Daphnia pulex: one gene and its partner. The protein of the gene in region 2 binds, or shares a complex with, the protein of the main gene of each other region. Links are inferred from orthologs where the notes say so. Each region holds a gene or a part of one and is shown on either strand. Other genes may lie near its edges. The genes, in order: polycomb protein SCMH1-like and polycomb protein Sfmbt-like.

Region 1 (9,627 bases), on a different chromosome or scaffold from region 2:
GACTAAAGGAAAGAGTTTAATTCCCCTCTGTCGAGGTATTCCCGCCCAAGTATATCCTTCGGTAAACAAATTTCTTATATATTTACTATAAATACGTTTTTTTCCTAGCAAATCGTAGTGAGACCAACTCTAATAACCCCCTTTTTTTAAAAATTTATAGTGGTTATCGCTTTCAGATATTCTTTTTATTAACTGTGCTTTACCAAGTGAATTGCGAAGTGAATGGAGGTTTTTGTTTTCTAGCCGCATACACGGCGAAAGTTTTTCAAGGTTTGAATTTTTTAAGGAATTAGCGTTAGTACGTACATTACCTCATTAATTCCATTTCGTTGTAGCCTCATGGGTAACATCATCGATAAAGGACCGTCTGTCGTTTTTATTAAAGACTTTGATGGGCATATTTTTGGCGGGTTTGCTTCTACGAGTTGGACTGTGGGTCCGCAATTTAAAGGTATGTAATCACTAACCTGTACAAAAAATGTCAATGCGCAAGTTTTTTAAGTTTCATATCGTTGTACATAGGCACAAAGGACAATTTTGTGTTCTCATTAGCACCACAAATGGCTATATATAATACAACAGGATTCAACGATCACTACCAGTACTTAAACCTACAACAACAAACTTTTCCCAATGGAATGGTATTCAATCTGCCTTTTTAAAAGTTTATTCTAAATTTCTGGATTCTAATTCTTACTTTAGGGAATGGGCGGTCAACTGGACTATTTTGCCATCTGGGTTGATTCGGAATATGGTAATTTTAATTAAAATTCAGTTGTTATTCAATATTGAAAAATGTTACTAGAATAATTAGAAAACAGCATTTACATTTTCTCTATTTGTTTAATGCCCGAGATTATACGCTTATTATATCGCATGTAATTCTTATCCGATAGTTAAACAACATTTTGACAGCAAGCGTATTCAAATCTTAGATTGTAACACTTTTTTTTTTATAGGAAAAGGCAAGTGTTCACCCAGTTGTACGACATTTAACTGCCATCAGCTGTCCGGTAAACCAGAGTTTTCCATCGATATGATTGAAGTGTGGGCCGTCGGTCCAGAACCAACTGAAGACGAAGATGAAACGGTAAGTTATTTTCTCTTGGTTGTAGAGCATACCCCATGATTTATGACTAGTCAATGAATCAACACATCAACAAATGGAAATTGTCTTAAGATAATTTATAAACCTGATGACGACACCGCGAGTAACTTTACATCTATTACTTTAAATAATTACATTATTGCCGCTCGGGTGACTGAATGAAGGTGAAAAGAAGAGACGGCACAGGAAGCGTTTTGGACACAAACCAAGAAGACAGGGCCATGCTCGATATAATTGGGAAAGAGAGGCACAGCGAAGGATTACGCGAACCAGTAGACGAAGATTGATCGTTGGGTCAGACCTTTAGAAGCTCTGTTAACATAAATATTGCATATGTATTTCAACCCGCTCGCTCGTTCACCTCCGTAGTTTTGTTCTTTTTTTTTAAACATTACTAAATCATATTTAGTACCCAATTATTCGCTTTGATTTGATTTACCCGTTCCTGCCTGTCTTTAAATTAATCTGAGAACGAATTAATACGCAATTCGCTTTTTCTGTCGTCGAAGTCTGAATGCTCTTATCAACTAATCTTTTTTTTTAAAATTCATTAATTGCTCGCTCTTTCGCTCATACTAATTTTTTTTTTGCTTTATCGTATAAAATCCTGTACTAGCAAAATGATTAATTTCCACATTTAAATATGTTCTTTTAGGAGGCACGGCCAAGCATTTTGGACGTAGACGTAGAGGGTAAAGGTACGTAAATATTTCTTGTAAATTCGATATTTCTATTTAATTTAACCGATTTAAATATTTTATAGCCATGCTAAGAATGTTGAATCGTGGACCAGTTTCAGAAGGAATGCGAGGTAAAATAAGAGTTAAACTAATTGTCCTTCTGAGTTTTATTTTTTTCTTTACTTACTTACCTTATAATTTGTTTGAAATTAATTTCATTCTCAGAAAACCCAACATCGGATGATCCCGAAGAGAAAGAGCTGTATGTGTCATCGGTCTCATCTCAATAACTCGTCACCGATGAGTTTTAGATCCATTCCATTTCTTAGTCAAAACAATTTATTGCTCCGTTGTCTTTGAAGATAATAAAGCCAAAATATAATTATTAGAATATGCAGTTTAAACAAGTTTCTTTATTATTAATTTTTGCGTTTTCTGGTGAAGCCTTATTGCCTTTTAATTGTCCTACCCGGCAATCGTGAATGTTTAAGGTTTTTATACATATTGATTTTTTAATTGAATGTATTGTGAGCACAAAAGCAAACCTTAATTGATCTCATGTGCACCTAATTTCAGGAAATATGAACTGTACGTTAAAATTTAAAATGAAAAGTTTCATATAAAATGAGGGACGACGATTCACTCAAAGCATGGTTAAAAATACATTAACCAAAACAACAAATCGAATGTAATACAAGCGAAGTTATAGGACACGTATCGAGAAATGGCCAGAGGCCCCGTCCCCTACTTTCGTGATTATCACAGACGATTCGGATCAAATATATATTTTCTATATATGTTAGTTGGATTTCGCAAGGAAAGGTTCAAAGGTCTCTGGCAGCCTAGCATTTTTTGTCCAATGTCGATAGGCTCTTAGGCTGCCACTGCCCTCAGCATTCGCTTTCAAATTGATAGATGACGGCGCCCTTTCAGTCGGTTTATAGAGTTACAAATCTTAAGAGAAGGGCCTAATTTCAGCCCCATATACTTCATCATCATTTCCGAGGTGAGAAGAAGTAGGGCCTTTCCGTCAATTTCCTGCCACACACGGATGAAATAATGCTTTAGTAAAATATTTGCAGTAATGAAATAATAAATAAAAATCGAATTACATGTTTTTGAAAGAGTTGAGAGTGTACGTTTAGACCTGAATCAACAGAAGTCAGATAGCGCATCACGTCATCGACCGACCATTCAGCAGGATCGGATGGTGTACAGGGCGCCTTCGTAGTCGCAAGGGCTGTCAACGCATTGATCTCAGCTTCATGACTAGTAGTAGATGTGGCTCTTTGTAGATCAGGCCGTTGTAACTCGGGGCTCGATTCAGTTTTAAGTGTTGTTGCTCTCCCGTTCAGCGCTTTAGTGGTTAAACAACTCTCGGCCGGCAGAATGTGCGGAGGAGAAACAGTTTCGCGTCTGCTATTGATAGGGTCAGTTTTGGGGCTAGTCATCATTTTCTTTTTTGAACTGACGGGAGTCTTGATGTATTCTCGAGCTAAGATAAATCCGTGCTGTAGCAATTACTGAAATAATATCGGACAGTAGATTGATACCTTTCCGTTTGTTTGCACGACAGGTGTCTGGCTTGATTGAATGATCGGCCAAATTGGCGACGCATTTTTTACAATTAACATCGGCGACTGTACTAATCAAATTTTCACAATAACCGAGATCTTCGCACAACAGTTCCAGGTAGGTTTCAAGCCCCACTAAATCGTCAACAGGAGGCAAACGAAGCGTATGAACTACATTTTCATATTTAGCTAACGAAAAGAAAACAGTGTCAGAGAGGCAAATTGAAATTTGGATTAAATGATTAATTGTTCTTACCACGAATGATAACGTCTCCGTCACCTTGACGTGTCCGGAGGATTGAGAAGGTTTGTTTGGTTTGTAGCGCGGCGTCAACTAAACCCTGAACGGTGTCCCGCAGAACTTGGCTCGGCGTTCCAGGTCCAATTGATCTTTTTAGCTGTCGTATTTTATTGGGATCCAAGTGAGATCCGCAGTTGCACGAGTGGTTGACATAGATGCTCACTGAAAATGTTTAAAACATATCCATTTTAAATAGGGCGGGAAAAAGTCATCAAAACATAAGAAAATCTTACCAATTGCTGCTTCCCTTTCAATCGAGGACGTATCCGGTTCAGAAACGACGACGCAAGGTTCTGTTTTAGCTCCAGTATCTGAGGACGAAATCGCCAACTTTCCAACTTCTGTCGGCAATTTATCTATTCCCGATGACGAAGATTGTAAAGGAGGAGGAGGAGGTATGTTGAGAACGCGAGATTTGAATCGGCTTCCAGTCGTAAGAGCAACTAAGAAATTGAAAAGGTTCGAATTACTTAATGAAAAGAAAAATATTTAAATTAAGCAAGCGGAGATTACATTTCTGCCCGGGAGGTTGAAGTGGGTGTCCAACCATTGCACAAAACCCAACAGGAAAAATGTCTCTAGAATCATATCGGCACCAGTAATCAAAAGCGCCTTTCCATCCATCAAATGTAACAAAAATACTATCATTGTTTACAGCACCTAATTAAAAAGAAATATGTCAGATTGAGTTTCAATACTACGATTTAGGTTGAACTAATTAACGCTGCCGGACTAGGTCATACCAACTGTGGCAGCACAAATTAAATGTGGATTTTTGCGATCAACAGCTTCAAGTTTTTGGCCGATTCGAAACATGTTGTATCGGGGTGAAAGAGGCTCTTTTTTAAAGTAGCAGCTTGGTGCAGTTTCAGCTCCAGTGAGAGTTTTCGAGAGGAATGTACGCCAAGATGAGGCATTCATCCGGAAACCTAAAGGAGGCTGCAACATTCCCCCACTGCTTTCACAGTGTCCTGATAAACATCCAGAGTAATTATTGATTCTGTACGGCTATCAGTATCTAGTTGTGAGACCCTTACCTATTGGATGTATGTCATTGGAATCAACCAATCTCCAGAAATCATTTTTGTTATCAGAACCATCGAGACGTAAGCGGAGCCGGGGGCCAATTACTGCGACAACTGTAGCAATGCAAGTTGAAGTCAAATTACGTGGATCTTGCGCTTCTAGCTTGACTCCAAAGAGAAATTCATTGGTTGGTGGCTTTGCGTGCTGTTTCCGAAATTCGTCCGTAAAAAAATAATTGCAATAATGAATAATAAATAGTAAGCCTAATAGATGAAGTCTGAATGGTAAAAATAAATTCAACAATATACCTGTTTAAAACAAACTGGGGGAGCTGCTAAACTTCCAGTTTCTGCTAGATAATCCTCCCATGCAAAAGTGTAAGGGTTGACACTCAATAATAAAGGTGATTCAGAATGAACTGCTGGTGATGCAAGTGACACATTGGGACTGGTCTGTAAACTTTCCACTGAAGATGAGGGTTTCATTTGTTTACTCAGTTCTCTCTTTTTTAATTTTAGGTAACACTTTTCGCTACAGAAATCTCTTGTAGACAAGTTCACAAGGCTTTGAAATGGTAAGCCAGAAATTGCTTCTCCACACTGAAAACACACTCCTTTTCTGAATTCTGATAAACAAGTTGCAGAGCAAAAAATGTGTCTTCCATTCTTCAGTGGCAGAACATATAGGTTGGGTTTTTCTGTTTGGCTACACCAACCACAGGGTAAAATACTTCCTTCAGCCACCACTGGAGTACCATTGACTTTGCTGTGCTCTTTAACAAAAAGATAGTTTTTAAGTAACATTGTAAAGTGCATTGATGCTATAAAATAACCAGAAAACATACGAAATAATGACTGATGGCTCATTCTGCTTTCAAATGATGAATTCTCAGCACCTCACACTCCTCACAGCCAAGACAATTATTGAATTTCCAAAGCCACCTAAATATATTCAGTTATAAAGGACAGTTGTACATGACTCAAAACAATTAGAAATCCTCAAAAACAAACCTGAATTTGATTGATGACAGAAGCATGGAAGTATGAAAACAGAAATGGAGATCTGTGAGATCGATTCTCAACTGTCAGTTGCTCAGTGCTGCGGTTGTTTCTAACTCAAGGCAACGATGATCTCGTGGAAAATAGAATCTTTCTTGAACTAGTACGTTAAAATAACTTCGATAAAACTTATTAAATTATGTTAAAATGTTTTTATGTACGTCTTCCATATGCCGACGCGACCGTTGTTTTTCACACCAACCGTTGTGCAGAAATTCGATACAATTGATTTGAGAAAATCACGAATCGTTAACTATCGATATAATTTCAGATCGATAACTGACTTTTTATATAATTATTATTTTAAAAATACTCATTAGTCATTATGTTTTATATTTGCCAGTTCGGACTGGTTCGGACATTATAAAAGAAAGCATTGTCTGTTTTTCTCTGGTAAAGAGTCAATATAATCTACGACAGAAAACATCAGTGATCGAACCGCCATTACTTTAATTTCCCACGCTAATAATTCTGTTTATATAAAATATGCTGTAAACTGCAAATCATTCGCCTTCTAAATATTTAACGCAGTTTGGAAATAGATTTAGATTGTTTACGTAAGAATCGACATGGAATCGATAAGACTTTTTATTTATTTGCGTTTTAATTTGGCAACACTATCACACACGCTTTTATGATATGCATTTTGCTTAGATCTGATGAATATTAGAATACAAAGAAAGTAGTGTGTTGTGTTGATAAATGATAGTAACATTATTTTAATGAAAACTTCGTCGTTTACTGTATCCGTATCTGTGTATTTTAATTTTTAGAGTTTAAGACTTGTTTGAATTCAAACCGATGAACGTCGGCACTCTCATGTGTCATATAGCCTGTAGTCTAGGCTACCGGAGATTGGCAATCCGCCATAATCCATTGATATTCTTTCAAAATATCTTTGCGGGTTTGTAGGAGTTGGCGTTTAATTAATGATTCGTCATCCTCTTTCATTATCAGAATGATTCCAAATGCTTTTAGACCTTTTTCAGGATTACGGCAAATGGATAGTGTACGATTGCGGCTGGATTGTCTCAGGTAACATTTTCGAATGGCGAGTTTCTGCTGTGAAATTGCACTGATGGAAAATACTGACTCAGTCTTGACACTGTTATTTCGATCTTCAACGCTTAACATGTCAGTAATATATCGTTCAGTGACGCTAACAAATTTTGATGCTATATTTTCGATAGAAAGTGATCCTTGCTTGACTTTTTCAATGCGGTTGAGCAGGTCTCTTATAATAGCATGTTTCATGTCGGTATGATTAAGTGATGTTTCCGTATTCCGGTGACTATTGCCATTGATTCGAGTGATTTCCATTAGCGAAAAGCTCCCCATAACAGTTATTTTACTCTCGTATGCTAACTTGGAAATAAAATTTGTCAGTTTGTCCCAACTCTTTTTGTGTTGGGTGAATTGGTGCAAGCTTTCCATCAGGATTTCGTTGAAAGTCGTCCCCTCATTTAAAGCATTGGCTTTTTCCATGACTTCGAATATTTTCTTTAAGAATGGCTCCGTTCGTTGCCACCATATTTTCGTTGTCTGTTCATTAAGCTCAAGAATACTTGACGCTATTTTGACTAGTTCCAATTTCCGATCGCGTTGATGTTCATGCATAATAGTGCTCATATTTGGGTTATGATTTAGATCTTTAAATAATAAGTTGTTTTCTTGATTATTTTTTTGAATCAGTTTGATGTGTCGATGGGCAATCAAAGAAGCCAGATCATCCATTTCTTTTGAACCGGGGCAATTGAGCTCTGTTTTCGGATGTTTCAAGTTCGTTGTACTGGGGGGTTTTATTTTAGTCGCCAATTCCTTAAAAGTGGTGGCGACCTTTTTTATTAAATCGCAGTCGCTTTGATTCAGGATGCCCAGCGTTTGATTGAGCTTCTTCATCAACTCTTCTACTTCATCATCGCCGTTAGTCTGACACTTTTTCGTAAGTTGATGCCCAGTTGAAAGCAAATCAAACAGCGGCAAGTAGTTTCCTTTTAGACAATCATCCTCATTATAGGCAATCTCTTGAAACAAATACCTCCAATTTCCAGCCCGAAAGAAAAATTCTGAACGACGCTCATCTTCGGACAAATTTTTGCGTTGCCTCTTAATCGATTTCGAGGGGTTTTGTCGACTGATGTTATTGGTGTTAAAGCAGCGGTTGTCAAGCCAAGTTTCCATGTAGATATTCGGCTGCTTGTTTTCGAAATTCCTCCACATCTTGTCCAGTAGCCAATTTTTTTCTTGGTGCCAAACAATCTCATCCTCCCTTGACTGTTTGGCTGCAATGACTGTTTTGTTCAATGGTCGAACCTCGACGAACTTCTCTTTTAGCCTGGCATTACATTCTCGTATGATTTCAGTTATCGATTCAATGACCATTTGGTAACTCTGGGCTACTTCATTAGACATTTCTTTGCTTCGCTCCGCCAACTCGATCAGTGGTACCAACGTTTCCATTAGTAGATTGCCAGTAATTTCTTGTTGACGAGAACTGGTGGACGTAAGGTAGTTGGTAGCGTTCATGGCGTGATTTTGAATTTGAACCTTGTTTTTTTGAATTTCCTTCATATTGGCGTAAGCTTTGCGAAAAGACAAGTGGGCACGTCGAATGATTGGCCGCAGTGCGGAACGAAAGTACTCTGTGTCGCCCGTTGAAGTAGTGTTTGTAATATCTGTGTAAAGGGTGGCAATGGACCATTCCAAAAGACTACCAATAGCACCGGTAGTCAACAAGTCATTCCAGTTGTAAAAGACTTGCATAAAGAGCGCAAGTGATTCGTTTAGACTCTTTCCGTCAAAAAGAAGTGCCCCTTTTTCTTTCATCTTCATTTCACACGATACTGCAATTAAAGAAAACAAAAATATTGGGTTAGTTTATTTTTATATGTTGGTATTGAAAAATCCACGAGCGAAAACTGGCGAAAACGCTATTTGTGTGTACGTATGTGTGCTTAGTTTTTTCTCGCTTAACCGACAAATTTTATTTTTACATAACTATAGCTACTCAAGATAAACAATACATGCAATAAAATTCGAAAAAATTTAATAGTCATATGTTTTATTATACTTAATGCATTAAGTAAAAAAAATTCTTTCCCATGGGCAAGATGAAGCAACAATACAGATGAGAGATTTTTCAGCATGAAACGAACCTAATTCCGAATTTTTTTACTTGCCATTTGAATGTGTTTTTGTCAAATCAGCTGCTGATAAACCGGAAGTAAGCGTTACTTCAGAATGAATATTTATCACTAATAAAATAAGGATAAGGCAATATCTGTATTTAACAGCCATATTTCATTCGCAATTCTTAACTTTATTTCAGAAGGCAGACGCAGACGACTGTTGAACTGGCGCTTACTGCCAAGTGAGCACATAAAAAACGTTCAAATATGATCGTCGCGATTTTTTTTTTAAATTATTATTCAGACCATAACACGGACCTTGTCAGCTTTGACACGAACGGTATCTGAACTAACATATCATTTTTCATCACACATAGAGAAAAGGCGTGAACTTATGGTAAAACTACAATCCTCCATTGCTACATATTATTTAAAATGTCCAGAACAATTTTTTAACACAGAAAAAATTGCTATAGATCTTGAACGACAAACTTTCTGCCGTATGGTTTCGAGTGCGTGATCAGCAAATCAAAATCGTGATTCATCAACAAAACTTATTACGACTACATTTTGAACCGCTGAAAAAACAGTAGTTTTTCTCATCAAAATGTCCATTTGGACCAATGCGCAAAACAACGTTGTGTTATAAATTATGGCAGTAAGCGCACAATCAATTAATCAAAAATTTATTATTTAATAGTTATTTTCCATTACGATGACAACTCAGTTATTTTAGCGCCGATAAGGCAATA
Region 2 (9,544 bases):
GAGTTCAGCTTCTTTGCGTGGGAAGCGTAAAAATCACAACAACTTTCATTCAAAGAAGATTAGGAGTTCTTCTTGGAATTTTTTTACAGTAAGAAAGACTTTCAGACTGATTTCTGTTTGACCCATGGGTTAACATTCAAACTATAAGTGCAAATAAAATGTAACCGAAGTAATTAAATAAGCTTTAGAACGCCAATTAATTTAGGTTGTTTATTCGAGTGACATTCTGAGGAACATAATTTGCTAATTGAACTCTTCAGACTACAAAGTCTTATGGTCATTTACAGGAGACTTGTGAAATGGTTCATTTCTTGTTCTTCATCTCGGGACCCCAGTTCAGGTAGAAAGCATCTGTTTGTACGCCCTACAGAAAAACAAGACGAATGAAACCATTAGAAATTTATACCAAATGACTGGCTAAATTCTACCATATTTGTGACAAGACTAGAAGTCATTAAACTACTTGGCTATTCACTTGATAAGCTATTTAATTACTTTTATGAAAAAACCACTACAAAAGCATTTCCCAAATGTTAGGTGTTATACACACTGTTTCCGAACTACAGATAACTACATTATCTTGTTTAGATAACGTTATACTATACTAGTTTTAGATGCTATTTCAAAGTCGCTATAAATAACCTCAAAATCATAAATAAACCACTTACCACTATAAGGGTGACAATCGTCACTGCTAATCCAGCCACCAGATGTAAATTGTAGGTTTGTTGTTTTGCACTGTTATACTCAGCCCAAGAGCCAGCGGGAACAGGCATTTCATTCATGGTGGCATTTTTAATGTGTGATACGTACGAGCCATTACGAACCGGCTGTGAAGTCAAACGTCCTGCAAAAATTCATATCAATCATTAGTTTAAGCACAGTAAATTAACAATAACAGCCATCTTAAATAACTGTAACGTACATTGATTACACAAGGACATACAAGCGGCCAAAATACCATCTCACGTTTGTTGAACAGGCTCTTTGAAAAGCAAAATTTTAACACAATATTTTCTTACCAGCTTGGGCGATAACTTTAGTAAATTGACGCATTTTGGAATAGATGAATCGTCGAGAAACTTAAGTCACGTAGCAAAATCCCAAGAACTTTAGTACGACTGCTGTACCCGATCACCAGTGCTGCCACCTAGATTCGGCAACGGTCCAATCGCTTACAACGTTGACGGATTGGCCCTATTTTACACAGCTACGGCGGACACGGACCGACGGCCGGGCCGGCAGGGCGACGGGCCAGTGCAGTTATCACATTGGGCAACTTTGCATGGCTATAATAAGACAACTGAAAGATTCACCTCTATTTATAGTTACATTTGCGGTCAAATCATAAGTAAGCAACAAACTGATTTTCAGTAAACAGTTACTTCAACAACAAAAGTTTTTTTTTTTTAATTAAATTTTACTCAAAAGTGTGTGCAAATATTGCTGACGGAATTGGTATTGCGAGCTGCGTTCTTCGATCAATCCTTTTCTTTTTGTAGTTTTTTTCTTCCTAAATGAATCTGGCCAACATGACATTTTCTACCATTTTGTTTCCCTATTTCCGCTAGTCGGGGCCAATTTATTTCGTAATTGACATAAAAATACACGATCTCGAGACATTTTACAGAGGGCTGGATGGAAGAATAAGAAGTGAAAGAGTTCATTTTGTTTCTTGTCAACAAATCAATTTGCATGCGGTCTCGTAAGATTTGGCAGTTTCACGTCAACTGAACATCATACGGAATAACCGAACAAGAGGGAATGGATTATTGCGTTCATCGTCAGTTATTATTAAATATGCCGTTTGCTAGAGCTTGTTAAATATTGATTGTGGGTTTCTCCGCGTAGGATAATAACGACAAAGCTCCTCGCTGCATCTTAGTGCGACTATCGTTCATTATTATTTTCTAACAGAGGCTTACACAACTTTGTTAAAACGGTTCAGCTTTCGCCGACTAAAATACTATGACGCATATCGAAACTGGGAAATCCGATTGAATGATTTGTTTTCACAAAAGGAAACACTAGTTCAATATCACATTTTCAAATAAATGTTTAACTGCTAAGCACCTTAGGCGAAATCAGTCCTGTCATGCAAATTCAATACTGTGCAACACATCTATTTCATTGAATTTTGAGTTCTCGCGAGTATTGATCGGAGGAAACTAACTTTATGTAACCTTTTGTCGTCAATATTTCTAAATTCCTTTTTCCTGGAAACGCTTCGCCAAAGTGGATGCCTATTAGCCACCACTGCCAAAAGATGATAGAAAAACAAAAACAAGATTAAATCACAAAAAGAACACTTTTTTATTTTAACTTCAAGTGTGCCACCAAAAATGTTTCTTTTTTAAAACAAAAAAGATCGTTTGGTTGTTAGTAAGAAATTGTTTGTGTTACCACGACCAACCGATAGGGAACCCGTTTTTTTTCCAATGGTTCTTACGTTGGGTTCGATCATGGGCGAGGTGTGCAGGTGTTAATTAAGACGGGTGAGTCGTGTCGAAAGAGACACGCGCTACATATACAAAAAAACGGCAAGTGGAATCAAGTGAAGAATCACAAAAAATTCCATCTTTGCTATCAACTCAACTGAAGCTGGCAGGGAAGTAAAGAGTCTTTAAAGAACCGATTGAAGGGCGAGGGATGAAGAGGAATTAAGACCGTTTGTAGTCATTTTCTAGGTTAAATGAAACAAAGAAGAGAGTTGGGACCTGGTGACTAATTACTAGCATTCTGCTGACGAGAACCGGGGCCAACTTTTGATTTGAGTTGACTGACAAGGTCAAAAATCTTGAGCGAGGGACCCAGTTTCATGTTGGTAAGTTGTAACACCTGGTCCTTGCTCATCGACAAGAGTCCTCGTCCGTCCACCGACTGTGAAGAAAATAAAAATGACTACACTCTGCAATCTTTCAAATTAAAAAATGTTATACTCACTGCATTAGTAAATGTATCGCAATAGGCAGTGTAGTCGTTGACTCGTAAAAACTGAGCCACGTCTTGGGTAGTCCATTCGAGGGGTGATACACCGGACAATGCTTCTCTTCGAAGGGCCGCAGAAATGTCAATCAGCCTAGGGATGCGCTTGCCATTGTAATCGTTCGATTCTCCGGTTGCGTGGCTCTCTGCTTTCGGGACGGTTGCTGAAGTTGGCGGCATGGATCTGTTAGGACTTCCAAAACTCGAATTGCTCATTTCCGCATCGTCAGGTTCTGTTCTTCGTCTGGTAGACCGCTGGTGGGGGTTTTGAATGGCAGTCGGAGCCTCGTCGGCCGGTGATGGACAGTTTTGATTCTGACCACCACGTGAGCGAAGACTCCTTGGGCTTTCCTGAGATTTCTTAGTTGACAAGGGAATGAGTTTTGCAGTTTTCCCGCGCACTGCTGCCTTTGAAGAATCCGCTGATGGCGATCTTTCCCTTTTGTTAACCACGGCATTTGGTGCAGCAGTTGAGGTAGAGATATTTTGAGACCGGCCGCCGCCCCTGGCACCTCCTCTGGATTTTCCTCTTCCACCTCGGCCGGGCTTCCTTCCCTTCTTTACGACTGGCGCCACAACTACTAGAAGAATTGACTCAGTTAAAAAGTAAAACTTAAAACAACAATTAAATCATACCAGGAGCAATAGGAGTTTCGAGGCGGTAGCCGGCCAACTCGCACCAACCGACTGGGTAGATCTCTGGTGAAGATATATCCATCCACTGATCAAAGTCATCACTCCAACCGTCAAAGTGGATACGAACTAGCCGGCCAGCGATTTGTGCAATCGTAGCAACGCAAACCAGGCGAGGATCCATCAAGTCGGCCGCTTCGACCCGCATGCCTACGCGTAACTGCGGCATGTTCTCGTCTCGCCCGCCAAAAAGGGATTCCGGTGCTGGAGTGGCTTTATTCTGTCGTAAGTAGTCTCCCCAGCGAAAGCGACCTTCGTAGTCTTCCGGCGGTTTCAAAGTGATTGCGTTCGCCTCGCAGAATCCAGGCGGAGCGATACAAGCCGAACTCGAATGATAACAGAACTCGCCGGGATCTTCAACCTGATCATCGCCGGCATCAGCCTCTTGTCGATCGATGCGGATCATCAAGTATCCTTGCCGCAAGACCTTGACAACACTCGCAACGCAGATGTGGTCCAAGTTGAGAGGATCCACCGCTTCCAGCTTCATGCCTTCTTTAAACTTGAGCGCTCCATTGCCTTGTGTCGGTTTCATTTCGTTGAATAGTTCGCTGGTGGCATCATTAGGAAAAAAGACTTTTTTGGCGCATCGCTCCAGGTAGGCTGGCAAAGCATCGATGTGGTGACCAACAGATTGCGACCAGCCTACAGGGTGGATCAGGCTAGATTCTTCGTGACACCAGAATCCCATTTCATCGGGAACCGAACCTTCGTAACGGAGGAGCAACCGACGACCAACGATCATATCGATGACGGCTACTTTCACCTGTCAAAAATACAAAAACTGTTACATCAGAAAAGAGTTGGCATCACAGTCGACAATGATTCACTTACGCTGGATAGGCGATTGCGATCAATAAGCTCGACGGTCATTCCGAGTCGGAAGCGAGATCTACAGGCTTCAAGTACCCGAACGTGAAACTGGTTGGGCAATGAACGGGCCCCCGTCAATCGTTTCACCAAGAACTCTCGCCACTCGGTGTATTTGTCCTAGTGAAATTAAATTGACATGAATATCAACCGAATAGCTTGTTGGAAGAGATTTAATGAGTTTCGTACCTGGATAGTTCGTGGTGGTATCAGTGGTTTCCCTTTAGAGGCACACCAACCGACAGGGTGGACGTCTTCAGCTGCCAGATTGACCCAAAAATCTTTGGAATCGTCATTGCCGAAGCCTTCGTAGCGAAGCAAGGCCTTGTAACCCATCAGGCTGATGACAGATGCCACCCAATACGATTGTGGATCACTGTTGGCTGTTGCTTGCCGGGTGTCAGTGTTTTCAACCTCGACCTGGAAATTGAATCGCAACAAACGTACAATCGTCTTTTATTCTTTCTTAATTGAGTCCGTTTTATTCAATATACCTTCATGCCGACGCTGACATCTGATGCCCAAGTATCACATAAAGGAGCATGACGGAAGCAGGAAATGGGTGGTGTTACAAAGCCCGGTTCAGTCAGCATTTCCACCCAATCGAATCCATACCTGGAAAAAAACAGAACAAGCATTCCTTTTACTTTCGACTGATTTTGAAAACAAAAATAGAGTGATAATTTCGTCGGACTTGTCTTTGTCTGATCCAGGTACTTCTTTGGCCAAGAGCAGCCGTTTTTTGTTGGAATACACATGAACATCTTCTGCTGGTTGGCCCAGCTTCCTGTTGACAGGCTGCTGCCCGGGTTGTAAATTAAGACGTTTCTCTATAAATGCAATAAAAGTATGAAACACGATGTCAGTATAGATTATTAATGTGATGATGAATTACCTGAATTATTGGAACTCATGTGCGGGCTTTCGTTGAAACTTTTAGCACACGCTTGACTACAAAATCTCCTTTCCTTGGTGTAGAATGAATGTTTAACGCCAATTGCTCCACACTTTTCACAAACTGCCATCCCCTCTTTACGAATAGGGATCATATCCAAGTCGGAATCCTTCTGGAAGGCTATGGGTGTTTTAAGAATTAGACCATCGACAGGTTTGATTTTCCTGTTTGGGAAAAATAAGTTGTCGGTTATACATGTTGTTTTCACAATGAAAGAGATTGCATGTTTACTTGGACCCGAGATGATTGGCATCTTCCCCATCAGAATCTTCATAATGTGAATGGGACACCAGGTGAAATTCAGAAGATTTGTTGGTTGCCCTAAAACGTCAAAATATTAACATTGTCACACATGCCAGACATGGACAAACAGGCCTACTCACTCCTCTATACCAGGTGTTCGCTTGTCAACTGAACTGACACCATTAGACGCAAGACCCATTCCCACTTAGAAATCACAGAAAGCTTATCTCACTGAATTTGATGAAAGTGTACAATATATTTGTTGAAATATCAACTTGAAATGCTTTTCTTCAAATGCAAAAGGTTTGAATAGTTGAAAATGAAGTCAGAAAATTGTAAAAATAACCAAAACTGCAGAGTGATAGTCTCTGCACAGTTCTTGTCAATATGACTAGCAGTTACGTTAAAGCGAAACGTATTTTTTGGCGGGTACTCACGACCGCTAAAAGGAGATAGGGAATTTTGAATTACTAATCACCAACCGCCGCCAACGGTCAAATACTAAGGAAGTAGAAACAGCCACTGACTTTTTCAAAAAATATATATACTAACAATTTTCTCTCTGACAAATGGCGACAAACGGAGACGCTTTCTTTGACAACGAAGGAAACAACAGGCCAAAAGACCCTGATCAACGATTTTTTTGGTAAATCCAAATCACAAAAATAATGAACGACAACAAATGAATTGGCCAATGCAATGCGTTGGCGTCCAACGGGAGGCACTAGTCGTACCTTAATTTCGATGTGTCAAACGGCCAAAATTTTAAAGACGACGGGGCGTGACAACTGGCTGGACTGTCAACGATATTATTTACCTGTCCAACTAAAAGAACGTTGACGAGATGCTATGGTTCCTCGAGAAAAAACAAAGGGAAAACCACCCCTTCAAAATTAAAAATTTCCTCCAAATAAAAAAAGACCGGAAACAACACAACAAGGAGGGGGGGGGTCGATAATCAATTTGCCCCTAGAAAACAGCGTTGCCACTACTTTAAAGTTTTCCTTTTTTTTTAAATAAATTGAATTCCTAATTTCCTACATGTTATTTTCACCATTTCAAGGTATAAAAAAGTTAGACATACTTTTTCCATCCGAAAGCACTATAGGGAAAATAACCAACAAGTCAAAACCTTTTGGTTTCGCTGGGTCACGCAAAAGCTCTTTGAATAATAAATGTTTCCTACAGGGAAAACAAAATAATTAGGAGACACACAAAAAAATAAAAATAAAAAGTTCAATCGACCGCAGAAACGAATAAGTAACGTTATATTTTGTCTTTCTTCCTCCCAGAAACCAAGAGTAATAAGAAAATATACATGCTCCGATATTATACATGTTGGAAAGTAGTAGTATAGATTGTTGGAAGAAATGGCCCCCGTTGGATAAGAAATAATATAAAAGAACGACTTGTATAACGGAACCCAGTGAGGATTGCGGTTTAGCATTTTTCTCGTTACGATTCTTTTCGCCGTTGGTTTTTCTTCTTTTTAACGAGTCATTGTCAACAGTTCGCAATCGTAGAGGAGAATACGGTTACGTCATTTGTGTTGTCTGATTTTTTTACATGTTCACCCGCGAACCGCGTCAGCAAATCTAACATTGTTTCTTATCCGTTTCACTTGCGATTCCCGCAGCTGTAAATGTACATAATAATCAACGGTTAGTTTGACATAACCAGAGAGTGTCTGAACGGGATACTGTGGCCGTGATTGACAACAACCAATAACAAAAAAAAAGGGAACGCAGTAGAGTGTATTATTATTATTTTATTTGTTTTGGATCAACAAGTATGGGGATGAAATTCAACTATACGGCAAAAGCTTTTTGTTTCATTTGAGGGGGATGAACCACGTTCAATTTCTCGGTTTCAATGGTATAATAAGAATGTGATTTTTACGATTGCAATTGCCAACGGGATTTTGACTCTCGGCCGGGGGTTCTCTCCGCTTATTCTTTTTGGTTTAATGAGGGAACGCGCGGTCACGATTCACCTGAAGCTTTTTTCTTATTTTTTCTCAGCAGAGAATACGTATGTTCCTCCGGCTCTCTGAGAGAGTGTCGTGAAGGAAACACAGAGAACCGCGCGAGAGTTATTAACGTTATTCTTTCGTTTTTTTCTGTAATAGCAAAAAGAAGGTTCTTGAAGCCATAATGGCATCAGCGTATTGCCGAGTTATATGTTATAATTTGAGCTTATTTTCGACGTCGGGGTTTATTTTCGTACATTATTTCTTTTCTTCCTTTCTCCGATTTTTGTGCCGCTAGGATGTGCAGTTGTTATTACACAGCTCGACGATGTAGTATATACGTCCCGGCCCGTTATACGCGATTGCAGAACAACCGCTCGCTCGCCATCGTAACAATAGACATTTGAAGGAAGATAGACCTATAACTAATGCCCGCCAACGTGTACGTACCAATTGAAACGCGCATAAGGGAAACACAAACAAGCGCACAGCCAATCGTCTAAAAGCTTGTGGAGAACAAAATTCAGGTTTGAAATCATTCCAGATCCTTGCGTGCGCTTGCGTGCGCGGATTGAATGTGAAAATGCAAATATACCGGACGCACTTATCACGTTCAATCCCGAATCACATCAGTCGAGAAAACTATTCGAACAATTTCATTTTTTGTTGTTTCAAAAATCTTTGTCACGTCATTATTTCGCCGCGATGTGCAATATAAAAAAAAGATAATAAATAACGAGAGTCTCGAATGATTATTTTTAAAAACTGTATAGAGAATTAAATATAGAACAAACATATTTTCACCGTCGTACATCAAACTGGGTTGTGTGAGTGCGTGTGTTCTTATATACGTGAATGAAAGAGAGAGAGATAGGGGCATCAGATGGAATAAGAGCGTATTACACAACAGCATGTGGGAATATTATATATACCGAATATATATATATATTTATATTTTATATGTATATATATATAAAAAAAAGGAAATGATATAAATTAGTTTTCATTTCATCATTCGGGGTTATTTCTTTTTTTTTTATCCTTTTTTTTAACTTGTCGGGTTGGTGAACTTTTTTCTTTGGGACATTTGGGAGAGACGAATGTGTTTAAAATGCGATGAAGAATGAGAAATATTTCGTAGAAAATGAAAAACAACACATTTGAATAAAAGGCAAACACACACAAAAATCACCTGGGGAACAAAACAAAACAAAAACATTTCAAAATGTCGAAAAATATATAAGGGAGAAAAGGACGGAAAAGGTTTGAACTCGTGAGAATAAGAAGATCAAAAAATCGGATTGTTCTTGATCATTATTTAAAAAATATTTGGTAATTATATGTACACACGGTGTGATGATATAATAACAAACTAAAGCAAAAAAATCTCAATTTCTTAAAATAGGTTCTCAAAAGATTTTCTCGATTGTTTTTTTTTTCTGGGGGGAAAATATATGAAACTCGTGAGCGCGAAATTGTGAAAATTATTATTCGTGTAAACATATATAATTCTATGGATGGATGGGTTTGAGAACCGTTCGAGTCCGAATATCCTATTTCAAAACTATAAAAATCAAAAAGTTTATCATCATCCCTTTCCATCGGTTGTTTGGTTTTCTTTTCCCTCTTTAAAAAATAAAATTTTAAAAATTCCTCTGAAGAATTGAGAGAAGAGAAAAGAAGCGTGACACTGTCTCATGGTTTTCAAGCCAGATCTTCCTCGCTGCGGGGGATGTCAAACATTTCGGCGAAGAGCGGGGGCAGGTGAATGAGCAAACTCCATCGGCGACGGTACCAGTCCAGCTGCGACTGATGTCGGTGGCCAATGG

Evidence for each region.
Region 1: the proteins of polycomb protein Sfmbt-like (region 2) and polycomb protein SCMH1-like are in contact, whole or in part, in a crystal structure (PDB 5J8Y), measured with the Drosophila melanogaster proteins. The link is inferred for Daphnia pulex from reciprocal best matches to the Drosophila melanogaster genes Sfmbt and Scm. Residues at the interface, in NP_001260432.1 of Drosophila melanogaster: Lys1176, Asp1177, Met1180, Met1185, Lys1186, Val1187, Gly1188, Pro1189, Leu1191, Lys1192, Asp1195; in NP_001247006.1 of Drosophila melanogaster: Lys831, His832, Glu833, Ile834, Asp835, Lys837, Ala838, Leu841, Leu842, Met846, Lys849, Tyr850, Met851.

Annotation. Positions count from the first base shown.
Region 1 is NC_060019.1:4,229,881-4,239,507, reverse strand, and holds polycomb protein SCMH1-like, read right to left. Parts: upstream 6,003-9,627; 5' UTR 5,909-6,002; intron 5,848-5,908; 5' UTR 5,700-5,847; intron 5,631-5,699; 5' UTR 5,556-5,630; coding exon 5,534-5,555; intron 5,462-5,533; coding exon 4,998-5,461; intron 4,894-4,997; coding exon 4,701-4,893; intron 4,635-4,700; coding exon 4,407-4,634; intron 4,324-4,406; coding exon 4,177-4,323; intron 4,107-4,176; coding exon 3,897-4,106; intron 3,826-3,896; coding exon 3,619-3,825; intron 3,552-3,618; coding exon 3,342-3,551; intron 3,284-3,341; coding exon 2,901-3,283; intron 2,827-2,900; coding exon 2,692-2,826; 3' UTR 2,293-2,691; downstream 1-2,292. Other genes in the region: MTOR-associated protein MEAK7-like, read left to right, coding at 1-61, 161-270, 336-451, 523-641, 703-754, 960-1,090, 1,764-1,806, 1,872-1,919 and 1 more; uncharacterized protein LOC124189850, read right to left, coding at 6,588-8,590, 8,927-9,044. UniProt on the Drosophila melanogaster protein: Polycomb group (PcG) protein. PcG proteins act by forming multiprotein complexes, which are required to maintain the transcriptionally repressive state of homeotic genes throughout development.
Region 2 is NC_060022.1:3,563,921-3,573,464, reverse strand, and holds polycomb protein Sfmbt-like, read right to left. Parts: upstream 6,293-9,544; 5' UTR 5,946-6,292; coding exon 5,887-5,945; intron 5,825-5,886; coding exon 5,735-5,824; intron 5,668-5,734; coding exon 5,444-5,667; intron 5,379-5,443; coding exon 5,243-5,378; intron 5,164-5,242; coding exon 5,043-5,163; intron 4,969-5,042; coding exon 4,738-4,968; intron 4,669-4,737; coding exon 4,513-4,668; intron 4,445-4,512; coding exon 3,622-4,444; intron 3,567-3,621; coding exon 2,944-3,566; intron 2,881-2,943; coding exon 2,725-2,880; 3' UTR 2,295-2,724; downstream 1-2,294. Other genes in the region: ecdysone-induced protein 78C-like, read right to left, coding at 9,420-9,544. UniProt on the Drosophila melanogaster protein: Polycomb group (PcG) protein that binds to the Polycomb response elements (PREs) found in the regulatory regions of many genes.